Lytechinus pictus: one gene and its partner. The protein of the gene in region 1 purifies or fractionates together with the protein of each later gene. This does not show direct contact. Links are inferred from orthologs where the notes say so. Each region holds a gene or a part of one and is shown on either strand. Other genes may lie near its edges.

Region 1 (11,706 bases):
TTTAATGTACCCCCCGCCTATATTAGGAGTATTTTTTTGGGGGGGTGGGCGAATCATTTGGTAAATGTTTGGAAATCAATGTATTGAAAAGGGTATAAATTTTACCAATCAAATAAATTCTGAGTCTTTTATTGATACAGATGAGTCCCCATAGTCACATAGCATTTTTTATAAAGCTTGGAAGAATTTATGGTAAAATCAGGGACATGGAATTTGAAGAAATATGAAATAATGCAAAAAAAAAGATAATTACCTTTTAAGTATATTATTCCCTCTCATATTAACAGAGAAAACAGGATAGTTAAGGTTGCTTCAAATTCAAACGAGAAAATGTTACTATAAGTAAACAAAACACAAAACTTTCCTTTTTAGTAAAGGAAAGCAAGATTTTCAAGACTGGCATTGCAGAAATGCTAGTTTTATCAACTTTCCCCCCTTTTTTGGGCTCTGATCAGTGATACCTTTAACCGATTGTAGCATACAAGATTAATGTTTTCCCTTAAATCTTCATGTATGTGAACATCTCATGTCTATGAAGTTTGTGGGAAAGACAGGAAGAATGGCGGAAGGAAAGGAGAAGGTTAGCAAAGGGCTAAATTATACCTGTGGGTTTTGAGACGTCGTAAGGACAGAACATAGCTCTGGCACAACGCCAGGGCTCTTCAAAGCTTGCTTCAGTTCTTCTGTGCCCTGCAGTGGGGGAAGGAGAAGGAAGATGAGGAGGAGGAGAGGAGGGGCAGAGGAAGATGGGAGGGGAGAAGGAAGGGTTGAGGAAGACATAAGGGGAGGGAACGGGGATGAGGGAGAGGGGGATGGGAGGAGGAAGAAGGTGAAGAGGAAAAGTGAAAAACAAAAAGAGAAGGAAATGGCAGGAAAAAAAAACAAAGTTGACAAATAGAAAACAAGGAAAGAGATATGAGAAAAAAAGAGGATATGAAAATAAAAAAGAGCAAGGTGGAAGAGATAGGGAAGGAAACAAAGAAAGAAAATTAAAAAGAAAGGGAGAAAGAATGAGAGAGACAGAGAGAGAGAGAGCAAGAAAGAAAGAAAGAAAGAAAGAAAAAAAGAAAGAGAGAAAGAGAGAAGAAAGAGAGAAAGAAAAAGAAAGTAAGAAAGAAAGAAAGAGAGAAAGAAAGAAAGAGAGAAAGAAAGAGAGAAAGAAAGAGAGGAAGAAAGAAAGTAAAAAAGAAAAAAAGAAAGTAAGAAAGAAAGAGAGAAAGAGAGAAAGAAAGAGAGAAGGAAAGAAAATGAGTAAGCGATGCAGCACATCGAAATGGGGTGGGGGAGGGATTGAATCAGAAAACAAAAACATGGTAAATTAAAAAGGGAATGAGGTAGCATGTGGAAATAATGAAATTGAACATTTAAAAAAAAATACTCAGATCACTGCAAAGGAAATTTAGAAAGATGACGAAAAAAGTTATGGGTAATGCCAAGTACAGTTTTTGTAGTGAAAAAAATATAATTATCGATTATCAGTAAGCAAATTAGAATCATAAAATGTGATCATTTTTATTGCACCTTTCACACATTTTGTTTTATGACATCTATAGTTTTTCAAACATTTCATTTTTTCACATTATAATTTAAGCTTTGAAACAGAACTTTAGATTAATAAAATAATAAAATGAAAGGGAAATATGGTTGAAACAAAACAGGATGGAAACATATGTTCGTAATCAGGTGTGGATTCATGGGTTACTTCCTCTTTCTTAATGATTTTCCTTTAAAAAACTAAGTACAAGTCAGTGAAATTGCAATAAAAATTGTAATAAGTGGAAAAGATCAAGGCATTCAACACCTAACAATCTCTCAAGTTACATCTCTAACTTTCCATAAAAGTTCCATATACTGAGGACCATTGGAATTCAACAAAAAACAAATTGCCATAATAAAGCTTGAAATATAGAATGTGAGTCTGAATAAATTCATGAAAATCAATTATGTACACAAAAAACAAAATTTAAATATGAAATGTTTCAGAAAGTGAAACTGAATATTCTGTATTCACAATCACAGCTATTAAGTTTGAAAAAAAAAATAGACCACTTCAGATCTATACATCTCATTGGATGAAAAATTAAAACTTTCACCATATTTTCTGCTATTTTCATATTTTCAAAACCAAATCTCTATTCATAACTGCTTCAACGAATGTCTGCTTCTCTGATCATAGGAATCAAAGTTCGAGAGTTCATATATATTTAAGTACAAAAATAAAAAGCATATCAATAACAAACAAGCGAACTTATCTGGAATACATATAGGAATACATGAATCCCCCAAACCAGTAGTGAGAAAATATGTTTGATGATAAAAAGGGTTTGGTGAACATAATTGAATATACATGTAATTAGGTGAAATCATAAAATACATTGATGGAAGGTGTTGGAGATAATAAAAAAACAACAACAAGATAAGAAAACAAGTTTAAAGGAAGGGTGGATACAACTTCTAGATCAAATTTAAAATCATTAACAAGTCCACCCAACCAAAAGCTGATTTGAATACAAAAAAGAGAAATTAAATACCGGGTATGCTTAACACTGAAAATTTCATAAAAATCGGATATAAAGTAGGAAAGTTACTATGACATTTTAAAGTTTCGCTTATTTTTACAAGACAGTTATATTCACATCCTAGTCGGTATGCAAATGAGGGGACTAATGACATCACCCACTCACTATTTCTTTTGTATTTTATTACTTGAAATATGACATATTCTTATTTCCCCTCATTGTGAACAAGTTTAAGTCCTCCCTGAACAAGTGGGATTACCATTGTTTTAAGATTTTGTGGTTCAGTCAAGTTCATCTTTATTGTAAAATCTGTAAAAATTGAAATATTGTATAATGCGGACATTAAAAAAACAAAAGAAATAGCGAGGGACATCATCTACTCTCTCATGTCTCTGAGTTGTGCATAACTGTTTTTTGAAAAAATAAGCAAAACTTAAAAATGTCATAACTTTTTTTATTTTACATCCAACTTTGATAAAATTTTCAGCTTTCTGCTTCTATGATTTTTCTCATTGATTCAAATCAACATTTTCTGGGGTAGAGTTGACCTTTAAGGGGCATCCCCCTCTCCTTATATCATCTCTCTTCTCCAACATCATTTTATCATCGTTCATAAATTTATTACTTTAAAGGTGATCAGATCATCCTCAGGTTGTCTATCAAAACAAAACAATGAACCAATGAAGTTTCTCAGTTAGTTTCACATATCAATATACATGTAGAATGAAAAGTTACTTAGGAAAAGTCCACCCCAAAAAAAACTTTAAAAAAAGAAAAAATCCAACAAGTGTAACACTGAAAATGTTAACAAAATCATATGTAAGATAACAAAATTTTGACATTTTTAAGCTTCCCTTGATTTCACAAAAAAAATTATATGCACATCCTGCCAATGAGAAGACTGATGACATCACCCACTCACTACTTCTTTTGTACATGCATAATGATGCATTTTATTTATTATATGAAATATGTAATATTCTAATTTTCTCCTCATTGTCATGTGATTATGTGAAACAAAGCTTTACTCCAGAGCTGTTAGCATGTGGTATTACCATTTATGGTTCAGTCGAGTTGAACCTTATTGTCAAATTTCAAATCTGTAAAAAATGAAATATTTTACAATTCAAACAATAAAAAACAAAAGAAGTAGTGAGTGCCAGACATCATCGACTCTCATTTGCATGTCATTGAGTTTTGTGAAAAATATGAAAAACTTAAAAATATCATAACTTTCCTATTTTACATCCGATCGTAATGAAATTTTCAGTGTTGGTCGCATTTCATAAGTTGGGTATGCAAAAAGGGTGGCGGATGAACAAATAATAAATTGTACCTACATCACAGCCCCATGGCCAAATTTGTTGTGTAAGGTCTCATTTTTGGAGCTAGAACTATAGGCTAAATAGTAAATATATTACTACAAATTAGATCAATACAATATCAGCAACAAAAACTATAGCACATTAAGTTTGAAGTTAAGGGGTGGCAGAGCCGGTGGATGCGGTGAATGATAATATTGTTGTAATGTGATGCTTAACGCATCATTTTTGTTCATTTACAGCATTTTCATTAGTTAAATGTCACTACTTAAACAAACTAAAGTTCAAATTTAATGTCAAAACAAACTTTTGAAACTACTGTATTTCAATGTCCCTATACAGTTAAATTATTAATGATGTTCCTAATAAATACACTCGATTAAGTAGGAAAAGTTTATCCAATATATACATTCAATAACCCTTTTTTCCCTAATTTCTTTTAATTTCAATATTGATTGAGTCTAATTTCACTTTAGAATTATTTTAAAGACTCTGGGCATCACTTTTTTAAGTTGAAGTACATTCATAAAAAAAGATATAGGCATGCAGGTAAATTATGTTAAGTTAATTAACTTAAATAACAACTAAAACATGCATTATTGTGCCATGATACATTCTATTATGTCATAATATGTACAATTGTACATGTACATGTATACTGACTGTCAGACTCATATTTCTAGCCAGTTTAAATTATGCAAATTTGACAACTTTGAAAACATTCCAGAATTAGCTACATGTACATGTGCATTTTAGCTCCAATCTGCAACCTATCTACCGGTAATTAGTAAATCCTATCTAATTAGTAAATTTTAGGAAAATATTGTTAACTATTTAATTTATAAACTTAATTTATACTATTTTAAAGTCTTGTATCATTAAAAAAACAACATTTTTTTCTATTCACGGTGTAGTGAATTTGCAAGGCATGTGAGGGTGAGCTGAGAGTCACTTTTTTGGAAAAAATTGCAAAATTAAACATTGTTAAAATTAGATGTAATTAATATGCATGCAATAACAGATTACCACTTTTTTGTTATGGATGTATTAAGCATTGATGTTCAAATAATACAACTGCAAAATAACATCGGTATAACAATAACAATAACAATAACAAAATACTAGGGTGATCCAATGTAGCATTAATTTTTTACACCATTTTTTGTGCAGAAAGTCCAATTTGAGAAAAATGCATTTAAAAATTCAAATTTACATTGACATCAATGTATTAGATATAAAATGAGTCATTTTAAGAAAAATAAAGGTATTTTAGGATAAAATCCTCCTTCAATATTTGAAGAATGGTAATACCTAAAAAATAACTTTTTCGACCATTTTTACCCTGTTCGCAAAATTGGACCACTTTATGACATGCGACCTGTTATGCTTGTTTGATTTTTCTCTATTCAAAATTATATCAATCTGTGATGGACTTGACCTTCAAAAAAGCATTCACATTTATTGTGAGTAGCCTTTATTTTGATCCCCAACCCACCCCTCAGTAGAATAAGAGAAAAATCTTCCTGCAATCAATATTGTTCAGTTACAATGTATTTTCAATGAATCCAGAACATAGTCGTAGATACTGCTCGTACTGTGGAGATCTGAAGAAAAAGAAAGTAGGGCCTAACTCTCTCACCCAAATTTCAACAAAGAAGTTTCATCAGGAATTTAGATCTAAACATTAAACACCTTTGGCAAAGCTAAAATATAAATAAAAAAACATTATTTCAAGATTAATTTTTAATCAACATCACCACCCAGTGTTGGTAAAAAATAAATTGTTAAACATGACTAGCACTATACAAATAGCTCCATGGTATAGGCATATCCACCACCAGCACCATCTGCATTATCAATATCATCACCATCACCATTATGATTTATCATCATCATCGTCATCACATCATCATTCATCTGTTCATATTTATGACATCATCGTCATCATCATCAACATCCTCATCATCACCACCGCCATCACCATCACCATCATCATTCAGTCACAGAAGCAAAATCAGCTGTACTTGGTCTCACTCTCAGACATACTCATAGTTCAGTCTCAGCCTCGGCTTCTGCTGCAAATCATCATGCAAAAAAAGCCAAAATCAGCAGATCAGGATTCAGGCCAGGCCAGGGCCAGGGATATGGCCTGTGTCAGTCTGAGCTGCTGAGTCTGAGCAATTTTGGCAAAGGCGTATTACTAATTTTAGCCGTTGCTTGCCAGTGGCAGTGTAGTCCTTACCTGTTGTATTACCACATTGTCAGGCACAAGAAGTTTCAGAAGAATTTGTTCAAGCGCTGATGACATTTTCCCAGGCTAAGCTCCGTCCTTCCCTGACACAAACTCAAGTCTACTCTAAAATCTAATGCCAATGCACTTCCTACGATTACGGTGCGCTCCCAACCCCGTCTTCTGCCAATTCTCCACGTAAAATGAATGAAAGTGTGCATGCATGGCACGGGTGTGATGAGTAAGTTAGACTCTTCAAAGAAAAAATGAGAAACCGGAACTTATTTGCACATGCACTGTGTAAGTGTAAAGCAAGCGACAAACAATAAAACAACTGGTAACACATCTACGTCTGAACAGTTCAAAGGTCATTATGTCCACATGGTTAATGTTATTTTGACACTGACGTGTTTCTCTCAGACTTTGTAAGATTGTAACTTTGAGGAGGTTTCGTCGCATCAAATATGGGAAAATCGAAGAATAAGAGATTCCGTTCAAAGAAGGCACAGCCGACTGGTTTGGAGAGTGTGAAGGAAATACAAGCAGAGGAAGAAGAACTCGGCACGTCCACGACCTCCTCGGACACCGTACAGCTGAAGACAGTCGGAGTGTTGGAGAAGGTGCGCGGGGCCCCGCCCCGGTAGTTTTTGTGTGTGTCGAGTGGTTGAGAGCAAGAGACGTGATTGCGGCCGGGTCGGGTGGGGTCACTTGTTCACTTCTCCCACGTCCCACCCTGCCTTGAGTGTGGGGAATCTAAATTATGTAGATCACTGCAGTATACAATTCACATTTAAAAATTCATTAAAATGCCACTTTAAAAACCATACAGTTGTCATGGCCATGGGGATCAGTTATTCACTGACAGTGACACAAGTCACTGGACCTGGACTCTGGAGCGCTCAAAACTTGAATTTTTGGCATATATTTGTGCAGGCCCTCTATTGATAGAAAGTAAAATTTTAAGAAAATTGTCATTTTTCAATCTCTTTTTTTAATTCAGAAAAAATACTTGAATAAAAGACTTCAATTTTTAAGATAATAAGAACCCGGGGGGGGGGGGGGGCACTTCCATTGACGAGTGGATACCATGCGCGACCATTTATTCTCGAATAGCACCCTAAACAAGTATTTTCCAAATTCTGAAAATGCATCCCTAACAAGTATTGGCATGTGAAACCCTACCCTTAACAAGTCCTGGGGGGGGGGGGGGGAGGGGGGGCCATGCAGTCAAACAAATAAATAAGTACAGCGATGTTTTAATTTTTAAGTCACAGTCTTAAGTTTTACCTTTACCTACATCATTGGGTTTATAGTACGGCACCAGCTTGTGTAAATCGTACACGTAGTGTTGACTGTTGGGGCAGAAAGTACATCCTTTATAAAACATTTTAGTCTTTTTTATACCCACGCAAATTTGACCCTTGACGTAGCTTTCCTAGCGAAATAGATACCCTTTTTTCATTATTTTAGTGGTCTTGACACTCTTATTACGTTACATACGTAACATGCCCTATCTTGGAAAAAGAGATCCTTATTACATGTTTTTTGTGGTCGCGCATGGTATCCAATCATCAATGTAAGTGGCCCCTCTGGGCTTAAGAACCAAGTTATATGATGAATAGTTGTAATGGAAAATGACAGTGTAAAAAAAAAATCAAGCATTTGTCAAGAGAAACAAGAGAAAATAAGCCAAACATTGCCAACCACAGGGAATAGTAACCTTGTTCATTAAATGAGCGGTTGGGATGAGACTTTCTGCAGGTATTTTGTAGCTGGCCCAAATCAGAATGCCCATTATAGCAAAACGGTTAATTATGTTCATTATTGTCCATGTGAGCGCTCTAATTTTAGCTCAATTGTATTCAGTTTTACCCTTGGCCTCGGCCCTCCATTTACAGTAACTTAGAGGCGCTGGTCAGAAAATTGGGACCGTCCCAGTTTACAGGGACTATCTCAGTTTTCAAAGATTCCACCACACAAGAAATCTAGGAAAGTTCATTCACCTGTGCCGACACCAATCTAGTGCGCTAGTCAATGTAAACATATAATCGAGTTTCACAAAAAGATTATTGGAAGACGGCATATCGTGAAAAGACAGTGAACTGGGGGGAATTGAGGTCACTGAATCTAATTTTAGCACTCTCAATCCCCGAAATTGCCGTCTTTGTCCCGCATGGGTAAGTGAAAAAAAAATGTCCCCATAAACAAGGACAGTCTCAATTTATTAAGACATGATTTGTCTTGGTTTATGAGTATATTCTTGTTTTCTGGGACAATCCCAATTTTTGGACCAGCGCCTCTACTGATTTGAATTGTCTCAGTTAACAATTAGATTAGATAATAAATTCAACTGTCTCATACTGATAATAAGCTTTTAATTTGTCATATATAGTCTAGTAGACTACATTAAAATAATCCTCAACACCTAAAACACAATGAAAATTACTTAAAAGTCTCAGAAATTCCATATCTAACTTCTGAAAAAGTAGCAAAATAGATCATCTTTATGTGCTGAAAAATAAACATAACAGGACCTAGCTTGCTCAGCTGTGTGTCGCACGCACGTTTTTAGTATACAAGTTATCTCGTGTGTAAGCATTGTCGTATGCTAGCGAAAATCCATTAAAAAAAAAATTCATAATGCAAGCCTATGTCTATGGCTTTACTATGTATTGTGTGCTGCACAGTGTGGCTTTTCACGACCATACACCGAAACTTCAACAATTCAAGTTTTGACAATGATCTTGAGATTTTGATGATATCGAACCTTAAACCCCTAAAATTAGAAAAGAATGAAATAAGCTATCTATATCTCAGAATAATTGACAAATCTAGCTCATTTTGAGCGGATTACGTTTGATTTTAAAGCTAACTTTGATATCAAAATCCGCTGCATTCACCGTACAGGGGTACAATCATGGTGGATTCTTCCGCCCAACGCGCACATACAAATTTCGTGCACATCCGCGATAGCGCCAATTAGCGCTCATTGTGGATCCTACTGTCTCACTCTCAGTTTTCAATCAAACTAATTGATTAATGTTACAGTCTACAAATTCAATTTTTAGGAAAGTTCAATCACCTGTCAAGTGCTGACACTTATCAAGTGCACAAGTCAATGTAAACATACAGTATCAGGTGTCTAACAAGATTATTGGAAGACGGCAAGTCCTAAACAATATATGGTGAATTGAATCTGTTGGGATCGAGGTCACTGAATCTACGTTATTTTTAGCACTCAATCCCCTTAATTTTGGTTTATGTCCTGCAGCTGCGCAGGGAGAAGTGGGAAAAAAAACTCAATTTATCAAGACACGATTTGTCTCATTTTATGAGGATATCCTTCTTTTTGGGGCACTATCTCAATTATTGGACCAGCACATCTATGTTAATCAGTCTAAAAAATGTGAGTCATACATGGTGTATTGTCTTTGATCATTTGTGAACTTGGTAAATGTCATGTTGGTCAGTAGTAGTCGGCTGAAATACGTCTGGAAGATGTTTTTTTTTAAAATTTGTTTCCTCCTTCAGTCCAGGCCAGCAGATTGGAAAACCGAATGAAAAAACAATGCAGAAAAATGGTAGTACTAAAAATGGGTGAAGGAGAAGAATATATGCAACAATCTGTCAGAGATGCATGCTCTTTGGATGAACTTGACAACTTTTTCTGTCTTCATTTTCAGCTTCAAAGTAGCTCGGCTGAGGAGAGAGAATGTGCCTGCACGTCTCTGGCAAACTTGGTCCAGGATCCCCAAGCACTGCAGACCTTGGTCCAACAGAAAGCAGTGCGTAGCCTTGGGCCTCTTCTCGTTGACCCATCATCAGGTATCCGAGAAGCTGCGGCTGGAGCTTTGAGGTAAATTTCTTTGTATATTTCTGTCTGTCTCTCTCCCTGTCTGTCTCTCTCACTCTCTCTCTTTCAGAAAAAAAGAAGAAGTAATTTTTACTTGCATTTAGGATCTGTGTGCAGATTGTCCTAATTTCCAAGGTTTATTTCAAAGTTAAAGAGTTCACAAACTAGTGGCTTAAATTATAATGCAATTGCAAAGCACTCAGGGGTCAATTTTCTTACAAAAATCGACCAAAGAACTTTCTGAACGCAGAAATCATTGTTGCTATTAAAGACTCAAGATAGGGATTGATAAATAATCTGATGAAAATATGCATTTTGTAAATTTGTAATCTGATGAATTTACAAATTTGTAAATTCAAATTAGTAAATTTACAAATGTTGTAAATTCACAAGTGATTGTTTTATTGTGAATAATGAAATATTAATTTATTTTCTTGATATTGTTCAGGAATCTGACTGTAGCAGGTGGACATGATATTTGTGACCATATGATAGATGAAGACATCATGACCCCTCTAGTTGCATTCCTACTTCAGGTAAGAATCCATGTCAAAGGTTATTGTATACTCTATACACTTTTCTTTATGGCTTTTGTCCTCAAACAACTCAACAAATAGAGTCAATGTTTTTAGTTTATGTATTAAAGATATTTCACTTATTTTCTTTTATTATTATTTTTTGATTGATTGATTGATTTATTCATTAATTCATTTATCTATTTCATTTTTTAAAATATTCTTTTATATTTTGTTGGCAGGCTCAGGTCAAATTTTAGATCAGTTGTCAAGCTATAGAGTATCATGAAAGGTTAATGAATTTTCAACTAAGACATTGACCTTGTTGGAATGTGATAAGAGCAGGCTCTTAGTCTTTCTGTCATGAAAGTTAGATGAGGATGTCATTTATGTTGAAGAATCTACTTATTTGCCATTTCAGAGTTATTAATGAGACTTTTCCTTGAATAGTAAACTTGACAGCCAAGCATACAACATCAGATGATGAACATTGAATCTGTTATAATCCCATAAAATGATCAACCTTTTTGTAGACCTGTCTAACCTCCATTTTTGTCCAGTTTTAATTCACTGTACAAACTGCTCATGCCATGATAATTTAAGAGCAGTACAGTTATGATACAAGCTAGAACTAAGATATTCATTTGCAATTTAGTTGTTTTATGCCAATGAATGTTATGTTTAGTATTCAGATGGAATTCCACAGACCTCTGCAAAGCATAAAGAGAATAAGATGCCTCAGCATGACTCAAGTTTAGAAGCATTAGTGCAAGCTGTACATCTTGTCTGGAATTTATGGTAAGATTTTTAGATTTCATTGAGGACTGTTTATGAGGTGGAGAGAATGATGATGATACTGATAATTGAGGTGGTTGTGATGATGATGATGATTATAAGGATCGTGAGGATCGTGATCCTGATGATCACAATGATCATAAGGATGAAAATGATGATGGTGATGGTGAAAATAATTGATGTGGTGGTGATGGCGGTAGTGGTGGTGGTGGTGGTGGTGATGATGACGACGATGAAGGTGGTGGTGTTTGCGATGATGGAGTGGTGATGGTTGGGATGAGGATGGTGATGGTTGGGATGAGGATGGTGATGGTTGGGATGAGGATGGTGATGATGATATGTCAGAGGTCAAACAATTCCTCTTCTAACCCCCCCCCCCCGTGTTTCTTTCTAAATGCTATCTTTTCTTAATTTTTTTCTACTTTCATTCATTCTATCTTTCTGTCTGTCTCTCTTTTTTATTTCTTTTGTT
Region 2 (11,661 bases), on another chromosome or scaffold:
CAGCCTGAGCTGATGCAAGGTCACTTAGAATCCCATCCTCCTTCTCATAGACATCCATCATGTCCTTCATTTTCTTCACTGAAGAGTGCTTCTTGTGCGACGTTGCAAGCTGCTCCTCCCACTTGGCGACGTCAGCTTCATAAGCATCTTGCTTCAATTTACCATAGCTCTCCACATAGCCCTCAATACCAACATGAGAGTTGAAGAGGGTATCAATCACAAGTTTCTTCCCGGCGACTTCAGTTGCGGTTCCAAGGTATCTCACCAGCTGTTGGTCTAAGTCATCAGGAATATCAATATTGTACACCCAGCTCCAGATGCCACGGGGGTCAAAGGGTAAAGATGGAGGATAGTCAGAAAGCTCAGGTTTAACAAGGCACATCTGTTCATGGGCATACTGCAATTCTTGAATGGACATGAGGGTTGTCCAACCTTCTTTGGTTCCGTTCTGCGAAGGTCTACCCTTGGGGTCACCAGGTTGAGGAGTACATGTTTTTTTCCCTGGAGCTCCAACATTGAGGGTTCTTCGTATCACTCGTTGCTCCTCTTCATGGCAGACAATGGCAACCTTGTGAAGCTGTTCGTTCCATGCTACCTTGAAACAAAGACGTGACGTCTTAGCTTCAGAGGTTTGGAATGGATCTGGTTGGATAGCTACCCAATCTTCTGAACTGATTTGTCTCTCCATGATACTCTGTAATAATAATGAAAATAAAAATAATTAGACAATTTATAGGGCACAGGTAATAAGAATCCTGGAAGCGCTGAAAGACTTGTGACAAATTTCCCCACCTTTTGTGGAAAGCCTTCAATCTCATTTTGAGCGCATGCGTGTTTAATTTTCTTATATCCGCCTCTATAGTGATATGATGACTTCGATGGCGATTTATATAGGTCAACTACTTGTATGTCGCATCGAGCTAGCGGAGGCGTCGTATGCCTAGCTAGGTCCTATAGGCCAGCCCAGCAGTCCAGAAGAGGCTTGGTACAAGAAATTCTCTATTAAGATGCTTCCTTGTTGCATCTTCCCATTATCTGCACTGAAGAGTACCTACATCCAGTCCTGGAACCAGACATGGTTGGCATTTCAGCAAGTGGGTATTCAATGTTTATCATTTTATTTAAATGTAGTGAGGCACTGCATAATTTTCCCTTTTCATAATGCCTTTGGATATATGTTAAAAAATATTCTTATTAGTATGCACCAGATCACACAATTTCACCTTGAAAAATGAAAAAGCTCCACACCGTGGGAGAGGTGGTCGCCCCCCTCCCCCACTCCCTCGATTCGCTCAGTTGGGCTTGGTCACTTTACTCCCTTGCGCTTAGCTTCTCGTAAAATCTCACTCTCAACAATTATCAAATGTTGGCAGCCCTGATAAACTGTAGTGTTAAATTCATGGTAATTCCACATGTTCAGGGAGGAATAAAATTTTGTTTCACATGACAATGAGGAGAAAATTTGACTTTTTCATATTTACAAAATACGAAAGAAATAGTGAGTGGGTGACATTTCTCGATACAACATGCAATCGTTGGCAAAGAGCCGGGTTGCAGATGAGACTTGTTGGGGAAGATCATTAACATACAGCAAAAAGAGTGTGGGGCCGTGGACAGTCCCCTGGGGGACGCCCGATGCAAGATACATGCTTTAGATGTTACGCCTTCAAGAACTAGCACATATGTCACTAGTAAGAGGTTAGTATGCTGGAGCTGGATCTAGCATAGCGACCAAGTCAGAAAGTAAAATAGTCAGAGACTGAAATTGAAAAAAAAGCTCAACTTTGCATCTGTCTGCTGGCAATGGCTCAAAAAGATCTATGGCAAGTTCCCACAAGTCTGCATGTGCAGTCCCCCTTGTCTACGCACACGCATATCTGCGCGATTCTAGTAAGTTGTTAGTTGTAACACATAGACAGATATTCATTTAAAAATCTGACTCATAATTAATGGTGGAAAAATAATGAATTTTGGGCATTTCAATGCGACGGCCTCAAATGCAGCCTTTCTCATCAAATTACCCAAATCATGTGCAAAGTGAATGGGTGCGCAGACATGCAGGGGTTCCATTTTTTTTTCCAATCTGAAAAAGACTGACCGAGGTTTTTTCCAAGAAAATCCTATACTGTATTTCTTTCAAATTTGTATGAGATACTTGATACACTTACTCATAATAATATAAGGAACATTATTCACTGAAATATTTTGTGAAATAAAAGAGAAATTCATGTTAATTCTTAACTCAAATCGTTAAATGCGCAGACTTGGGGACCACCATCATACCATCTACTCTGGTAAACAATTTCAGTGTCACTCGGCTCACACAGTCACAGAAACTTAAGTCACATAATCTCTCTACCCTCTAAATGTAGTTAACCCAGAGAGCTCCGGCCCGCTTCGCGCGCCTGGATTACCTTAACATGCTTTTAATAATTAACAAGTTCTAACTAACTTTAATTTAGTTGTTACAATTACAACTACGACAATAAAAGTAAATAATCACAAAGACTGAAAACGACTGAAAAAAGATGGAAGATTATTAGATCTATTAACCTCAACTCAAGTCAAGTGATGTTCTAACCCAGGGAGCCCAGTAGTCGACTGTGCAAAGGAGAGGTATCGCGACAGAACTTTTCGTTTCTTAAAGGTTCCAGTCTGTGTCTCGATGTCAGGATTTGTGTGTCACGAAGTTCATCCATATAATCGTGGTACATGTAAGTGCATAATTTCCGTTTCCACTTTTATTAAGATTACTATTTGAGACCCCAATCTACCCCAGGGGCCTGTTGCATGAGATGGTCTTTGGTAATACCGCTCTACATAAGAACGAGATATCGCTCAACTGTTTCACAAAGCCGATTTGGGCGATGCAAAGAATGATCCTTGGAAAGACACCTCCAGACATGTCCTACGTAGGCATGATCTTCTTTGCACACCGCCCGCCACCGTCAGCATTGAGAGAATATGCGTTTATGGCAAGCCACACTGACATATCACCTTTAAACATTTTTTTTTTGGGGGGGGTCATTCGAGTGCACTCTGATGCATTTTATCTGGGATGGCGCCAAGTTATTTTTTATATGGGGGGGATAATTTCAGGGGCCCGTCTTACAAAGACTTGCGATTGATCCGATCAATCACAACTATGGAAAGCCAGCAAAGTCAACATATAAAATGCATGTTTGCTCAAATTTTTTTTATAGATGAATGTATATCCATAAATTCATTGAATTCTAGATAATTCGATGTGTTCTTTGTTTACAAAGGACATTTTGCAAATTTCCTGTAGAAAAAATTATGACACTGATGGATTTTCATAGAGTTAAGATTGATTGAAACAATTGTAACTCTTTGTAAGACGGGGCCCAGATCATCTTGCATGGCAAGACGACCCAAAACGGGTGTCACTTTAACTTCTCCGGGGTCAATCTAGGCCCAAATAATTTTTTTTAGTATGTTTTCTTTTATTCTCCCTCCTGTCTTTTCCCCACCCCCTTTCCAGTTTTTTTTTTAAATTAAACTTGAAGTTGAAATATCGAAATGAGCGGCAGCCTCTCATTAGATAAACAACATGAAAACTATTTTTTTTTTAAAGAGATCATTATGAATGGTAAAAAACGTGTTTATAACGTTCAACGAAAAAAAGACAGCACGATACAAAACTAAGATGTTACTAAACATGCTTAATCATTTATTTATTTTTATTTCATTTTCATAATGACAATCACTAGCGTACCTACGGGGGGGGGGGGGGGCAGAGGGGGCACTCTGCCCCCTGACGAGCAACCATGACCCATACAAAAGACATATACCTGCCCCCCCTGACGAGCTTAAAAGACCTTTTTTGCCCCCTCCCCTGACGAACTTGAAGACCTTTAATGCCCCCCCTGAAGAGCCTGAAGACCTTTTTTTTTTTTTTTTTTTTTTTTTTGCTTGTCAAATTTTTTGGCGGCCGATTTTGCCCCCCCTGTGGAAAATCCTAGGTACGCCACTGATGACAATTATTATTATTTTTTGCCGAGATTAATTTTAATTAATGAAAATTAATTGATGGATTTGTGCTAACTTGAGATGATGAATGAAACAAAAAAAATCTGCAGTGACTTAACAAAATAGCTAATTGAATTTAATATATAGATTAGGCCTAATAGCTTACGAATCCATCACAATCATTATAAATGAGGATAAGTTTGTTGTATCAATAAAAGAAAAGATTATGAAAAGTCCATACGAAGAGGCGCATTTTAAATCGTAGGGTAGGACCTATCGGCCCCTATGTCATGTTAAAGCAATAATGTAGTCTCGACTCCTTAACTTTGAAATGTTGAACATAATATTCTTAAAGCTTATATTCTTATATAAACTTCCATAAAGTTAATACTAAATAGGTTCATTATTGCGGACTGAAATAATCGCTAGAGGGTATTCATTTGTCTCGCAATCTACTATGGTCAACAAGGAAATTTGTGATCATAAAGTTATCAACTTTAAATATGACCAACGTTTATGATAGTTGTCATTTTTAGCATTGTTTCTGAAAATTGTATTTTTTCCATTGCGGATTGATTTCACACATTTTTCTATGTTTTATTATTGCAAAGCACTACTTTACCCACTTGGACATGTTTGCAGCAATTTTCATATTTTGCTTGTCTTCGATTACTCATCATGCAAAGGTATTTCTTGCGTGATATCTGACAAATAAGATAAATAAGATTTTTCACAAGCAGCCTCTCATATTTTCCTTTTTAGTCTCAAACAATCAGACACATTGATTTTGTTTACTCCATTCAAACCCTATTTTTACCTCAACAAATAACATTTAACGCATAATTTGCAAAATCATCATTATAAATAAGTATTCTATAAAAAAATCAGAATATTGAATTAATACAATGTCAAAATTGCTTAGTTAATTCAATTTTTATGTTGGTCAAGGGTCTCTTTCGTTGAAATATCAATGAAAGGTGTCTCTAAAAGGACACCGTGTTCTAAATAAGAGAAATATAAATGAAAATTTTGCAATTTTATCCAGTTTGTTTGTGAATCTTTAAAGTTTTTTCTCCTTTTACCTCATAAAGTAAGCTCCATACATCAATTCTACAATCAGTAATAATTAAAACATTATTTGATCTCCATTTATTGAAATATATGATTTTATGAAAAGTTGTCATTCCGAAATAAAAGGTTCAGGTGACGATGAAGACTAAATATTTTTCCGATACTATAATCGATATCAAACGATGTCGCGGACTTGGAAGACAAAATTACCTCCGTGAAACGGTAAGCGCTGATTTGTCGCCAATCTTCCTATCTCGGAAGAATGGTCCTAGGACGTTCCTACGGCTACGTATCGCTCATCTCGTCATGCAACAGACCCCAGTGTCTCCCTCGTTTTGCACGGTCAACTCCTGGGCTCCGGCCCACGAAGCGGGCCAGAGCTCCCTGGGTTACCGGTTAGTCATGTTCGTGCAGGCTCCACTCCCCGCTCAGGGGCCGATTGCACGAAAGGGTCTTTCCAAGGACCATCTTTCGTGTCGCCCATATTTTATGATGCGCTGTATGCGGGATTTTACTGAAATGTACTATGATAAACAAATAAAATTTGTTAGCTAGCATTTTAATCGATTTGTATACAAATTACAATTTCCTGATATATCACATCATTTTATAAACAAAGATTTTGTTTACTTTAACAGATGAATAAAATATGTTTGCAGGTAATTTATTTAAAATGTGTTTCACATGGCGCATCATAATAAATGGGCGACACGAAAGACGGTCCTTGGAAAGACCCTTTCATGCAACCCCGGGGGGGCCACTTACATTGACGAGTGGATACCATGCGCGACCAAAAAAACACGTAAAAAGGATGTCCTTTTCACGATAGGGCACGTTACGTACGTAACGTGATAAGGGTGTCAAAAACACAAAAATAATGAAAAAAGGGTGTCTATTTCGCTAGTAAAATTACGTGTTTAGGGTCGAATTTGCGGGAATGATAAAACAAAATTAAAATGTTTTATAAAGCCTTAAAGGATGTCCATTTTGCCCCAACACTTCGTGTTTAGAGTCCGATTTGCGCGAGGTGTAGAAGATGGGGTCGTACTATACCAAATAAGGTAAAGCCGACGACCGAAGGACCCGTAACAATAAAACATTCCTGTACTTGTTCAGGGGATCATATATCAAGGAATATTTGCCAAGAGTCAGGGCCAAGAGTATATCGTTTTGTTTCCAATACTTGTTAAGGGTAGGGTTTCACACGCCAATACTTATGTTAAGGGCTGCATTTTCAGAATATGGAAATTACGTGTTTAGGGTGCTTTTTCGAGACCCCATGGTCGCGCATGGTATCCACTCGTGAATGGAAGTGGCCCCCCCGGGCATGCAACAGACCCCAGCTCACTCACTGTCACACAACTTCACAAACAAAAACATGCGAGGCGAGGCTCCCCGCTAGTAATACTAGTACCGTACTAGTAGTAGTACACAGTCACTAGACTACGCCTACGCCACGGCCGGCTTCTACGCTACAGACGTACAGTACAAAGCGTAGTGTATCGGTAGTGAAGTGGAGTGGAGCCTGCACGAACACCAGTGGAGGTAATTGTGGGCAATTGTGGATAAGATTTAAGAAAATGAGATCAAATATTGGTTACATTACAACAAAAATGAAATTACAACCTGAACTGAGGCCTGAGGCTGAGCTTCAGCTTCGACTAGCTCGAGCAATGTAAATAATCATGACGTCATCTCCCCTTTAAAGCCTTGAAGACTGTGCTCTTATCTCTATACCGCGTGCCGTTAGTTAGTTCCGGTAACGTATAGCTATGAAAAGAGTCTAGTTCAGATCAGAGAAGGTATCCCAGTAAAATCAATGTATGCTCCCATGTGAACTGAAAGAGAAAGGTATTCAGCTGTTATTTATCGTCCATCCTATCCTTTTGAATTTGGTTCGTATTTATATTTCCCCCGAAAATATTTATATGCTTATACGCACTTTTTTTTGGCTTAGAATACAATTTCCTAATTTTCTTCCTATGCATGGTAGCTGCTAGTACTTTTAGTAGCTGCGAGCTATATTAGTCCCACACATATGTTTTCGTGGAGTAGAAAAACGTTCTTAAAGGTCAAGTCCACCCCAGGAAAATGCTGACTTGAATAAATAGAGAAAAATTAACCTAGCATAGTGCTGAAAATTTCATCAAAATCGGATGTAAAATAAGAAAGTTATGACATTTCAAAGTTTTGCTTATTTTTAACAAAATAGTTATATGAACGAGCCAGTTACATCCAAATGAGAGAGTCGATGATGTCACTCACTCACTATTTCTTTTGTTTTTTATTGTTTGAATTATACAATATTTCATTTTTTATAGATTTGACAATAAAGACCAACTTGACTGAACCATATAGTATTAAACAATGCTAATTCCACATGTTCAGGGAGGAATCAATCGTTGTATCACTCGACAATTAGGAAAAAATGAGAATATTTCATATTTCAAATAATAAAATACAAAAGAAATAGTGAGTGGATGACATCATCAGTCTCCTCATTTGCATACCAGCCAGGATGTGCATATAACTGTTTTGTGAAATTAAGCGAAACTTTAAAATGTCATAACTTTCTTATTTTACATCCGATTTTGATGAAATTTTCAGTGTTTTGCTTGTTGGATTTTTATCTTTTTATTCAAATCAACTTTTTGTTGGGGTGGACTTGTCCTTTAATAAATTTAATACTTTATTAAATATTACACAATCACGAAATTTACCTGTTTTTTTTGTAAGCTTCACTTCCTAGGCTGCAAGCTGTATCAGACCTTTGTCTTAGTTGGTGCATTTGCCGATGCAGCACGACAGAGGCAGAGCAGAGCTAGAGTGAGAGTATGGACTATGAATGATATATAAGTATAACTATAAATAATGAGTAGTCATGCATGACGTGGTATGGGATTATTGGGATTGTCATGAAGACCCATGATCATTCATGATGATTGTCTGTTTTTGTTTCCCTCAAACCTTATTTATTAATTTTTCATTTATATGCTTTAAGGGACTACTTTAAGTGGTGAGATTACACAACACTTGAAACCTTTTGATGATATTTTTTTTCCAATTCAATAAGTTTAACACTTAAATAAACGTTATTAGAATAATTAAGTCTACGGTACGGAAAAAACTTAAATTAAAAGGATCATACAATACGGTTCATAAATAATGTCAAATTTCAAATTTATAGGTCTAGTCTAAAGAAGGAATTAAGTAGCATGTATTGTAGTAGACATGAATAACTGTCGTTTCTGGGCATTTATTTAACAATTTCTGACACTTTACTATCGTCCCCATTCAGTATTGGTGAGTGGAGCCAACGTAGTTAAGTGGAACAACCAATTTACAGAGACTGAAGTTGTTTGTCTAGTAGTATTGTAGGGAAAGTTCCTAAAAGTGCCCCTGGCAATATTGATTTTTTTTTCCTTCAGGATATGAAAATGGACTGTGATCAAATTCCCTAGCAATTGTCCAGAAAATTAGTTATACAGTGCGTCCCAGAAAAAACGAAACCGAGATTTAGCGATGATTTATCATAACTTAATCATAAATAAAATAGACAAATGACCTACCAATTTAAAGCTTAGAATCTCCTCTTTCATCTGGTATTACTTAGACTATTCCTCATTCACGCATGATTGAGCAAAAACAATTCAAAGAAAGGATGCCAAAAACTCATTTGGCGGGGGGTATCTGAATTTCAAAAAGAAAATCACATGACTAAAAAGTTCAATATCTTCTCTTTTCTTTGATACCTAAATCACAGAAAATGGTCAAGTAGTAAAAAAGTTATGATCCCTCGAAACAATGCTTGTATTTCCATAATTTCATTAAATAAACGTGTTTTCACCGGTTTCCCACTGAAGCTATCGCACGGTAACAAAAGACTTAATGCATGGCTGATCGTCAACAAAACGGAGTGTCGAGTGAGTGTGAACTCTAGCCTGTAAAACCTCTTCATTTTATGAAATTATTGAAATTCAAGCCTTATTTCAAATAACCAGAACTTTTTTATTTCTTGACCATTTTCTGTAATTGAGGTATCAAATTAAAGAGCAGATATTGAACTTTTTAAAAATGTGGTTTTCTTTTTAAAACCCAGATACGGCCCACCAAGTGACTTTTTGGTATCCGCTTTTCAAATTGTTTTTGCTCACTCATGCGTGAATGAAAAATAATCTAAGTAATTTCAGATGAAAGAGGAGATTCTAAGCTTTAAAATGGTAGGTCATTTGTCTATTGTATTTGCGATTAAGTTATGATAAATCATCGATAAATCTCGGTTTCGTTTTTTGTGGGACGCACTGTATAAATGTCGATCCTTCGATCTGATTTTGCCTAATATGATAAATAAGGATATAAAAATTGTAACTAAAAATGTTATGTAATTAAGGGGCACCTTATTTGTAATTTGTTATTGAAATGTCCTATGGGGGATCAATTGATTAAGTTACAAAGTAGGTATAAAAACTACAAAGGGATTGAATTACAATGAATGGAATTCATTATTCATTGAGTAAAAATGAATCATGAACCAATAAGCCCATGATATGCTATAAAGGTTGCAGTCTATTTGACTTCTACACTGTACAAGTGTAACAATGAGTCAGATTGTTATTTTCCCCTTATATTAGAAGTTCAGTTCATCTCATTTAAGAAATACCGGTATGCATCTGCATCATATTTTCACACTGCATACAGCATTAAATTGACAAATGTAGTGTAAAACAGTGACTCATCTGATATTCTCCCATAGAGTCAATGCGAGTAATTGCACAATATAATACATCTCTATGGTGTTTTCCCCTCTATTCTTTGCTTTTATTTCTTTACAGATAGTGAATATATTCTAATCTCCCCAGACTGACATTGCTTTTGTCATGAGTTGTGTCCTACTTCATATCTTATATATTTCTTTCTTTTCTTTTTTTCAACACAGTAAGCAAAGCTATGCAAAATGTACAAAAATTTTCAGTTTTGTGAGCAGTTATTTTGTAGTCATTTCATTTACTTTTACTAATGTCTATGGAGAAACGATTGGACAAAATTTGCTTTGTTTCTAGCCATTTTTCAAAAGGCTACAGATGGCTACAAAGCAGCTTTTAATATAAACAGGAGGAAAAGGGCTCAAAGTAGCTCACTGTGCAACCATTTGCAGTTACTACAGTGTACTGCCATTGTAAACTGTACTTGATTCTCCAATTTGGCTGACATAATGTGCATTATTCAATAAGACTTCTCATGTCCCTGGGTAAATTCAACAGTACTAAAATTTCAGTCCTTTATATTTTTTCATTTCAGTTTGAATACAACATCTTTCTCTTATTTTGCTATTGCAGGCAGGACCCATTATTTGATGTGAACAATTTCTTCAAGTCAAGAAGATGACAATGCAGGTTCTATTGAAACTTTGCCAAGGGCAAAGAGCAGTGTGTCCAATTCTTAATCTATCTACAAAGAGTCTCATCAGGAACAAAGTATGGAAAGCATCATCTGTGCTTTCAACAAGGAATATTGCATCAAAAATGCAAGAACACTTTCTAAACTTTGGCAGGAGTCCTCTTCGCTCAAGGAGTATAGCTTGTCTTGTCCAGCAGCGACTACCAAGTATTTCAAGAGGAGTAACCAGCAAAGTAAGTGACATGGTTTCAGGTGAAGAAGACGATCCAGAATTCAAAGCATTCTACCGTCTTCCATCCATTGTTCAGCTGAAGATACTATCAAGGATCAAGATAGTCCAGACTGGGTTAACACTAGCTCTAATCCCTCCTATCTATTACTACCATGATGCAGGTATGTTGATGACATGGCAGCTTCAGTTCTCTGTTGGTATCGCGACCTTTGCCCTCTTCATGCTTTATGCCATGAGCTTCTTCCTAAGGCGAATGATCGGAGCAATGTACCTACATCGTGAAGGAGACATTATCAAAGTCTCCCATTTGACATTCTGGGGAGGCAGGAGAGATACTGTTTTCCCGGTAATGGATGTTATCCCCCTGAGTGAAGGAAGCAATAGAGCAGATGATGTACTCTTAAAGTTGGAGAGATACAGCACAAAGGATATCCTTTATTTCACCCTGCCGATTGGACGTGTCATTAATGCGGAAGCCTTTGAAAGCGTATTTGGTCAACCTTAATGATGCAAATCTGTTAGTCTGTCAATGAACATTATTGGCATTAACTTTGTCCAGTCTTTAGGGGAAACCCCCAGAAAAGTCTTGAATATGATTTTTACTTTGGAAATTAAGTGATGTTCATGTGCCTCCCCTCTCCTGCCCTGAGAAAAACTTGGCAAAATCATATAAAACTTTATCCTGTTATATTATTGGCAGGGTTTATGTATAATCATTTCAAAAACACTTAAGTTCCAAACAAATAATACACCTTTTTGTTTATTTAGTAGCAGATTGACCTCAATAAGTCCCCCCCCCCCCCAGAAAAAATGTGATGAATCTAAAATGACATACTTGTATTTATCCTACCCCCCCCCCCCTTTAAACAAAATTAGAAAAAAGGAACATGAATGAAAATTGTTTTCAATATCTTGCATTAATATCTTAGAGTCCAACAGCATCATGAATATGTCGCAGACAATACACACGT

The links.
Region 2: the proteins of HEAT repeat-containing protein 3-like (region 1) and transmembrane protein 186-like purify together in Homo sapiens (co-immunoprecipitation; 3 studies listed by BioGRID and IntAct, counting the BioPlex papers as one, with this or other methods). This does not show direct contact. The link is inferred for Lytechinus pictus from reciprocal best matches to the Homo sapiens genes HEATR3 and TMEM186.

The regions. Positions count from the first base shown.
Region 1 is NC_087246.1:37,178,885-37,190,590, forward strand, and holds the start of HEAT repeat-containing protein 3-like, read left to right. Parts: upstream 1-6,425; 5' UTR 6,426-6,535; coding exon 6,536-6,691; intron 6,692-9,754; coding exon 9,755-9,927; intron 9,928-10,372; coding exon 10,373-10,460; intron 10,461-11,124; coding exon 11,125-11,237; intron 11,238-11,706. Other genes in the region: importin-4-like, read right to left, coding at 604-690, 6,084-6,149. UniProt on the Homo sapiens protein: Plays a role in ribosome biogenesis and in nuclear import of the 60S ribosomal protein L5/large ribosomal subunit protein uL18 (RPL5). Required for proper erythrocyte maturation.
Region 2 is NC_087249.1:2,090,784-2,102,444, reverse strand, and holds the start of transmembrane protein 186-like, read left to right. Parts: upstream 1-6,841; 5' UTR 6,842-6,912; exon of another isoform or gene 6,913-6,956; intron 6,957-10,397; 5' UTR 10,398-10,442; coding exon 10,443-11,195; 3' UTR 11,196-11,661. Other genes in the region: junction-mediating and -regulatory protein-like, read right to left, coding at 1-688. UniProt on the Homo sapiens protein: As part of the MCIA complex, required for efficient assembly of the mitochondrial complex I.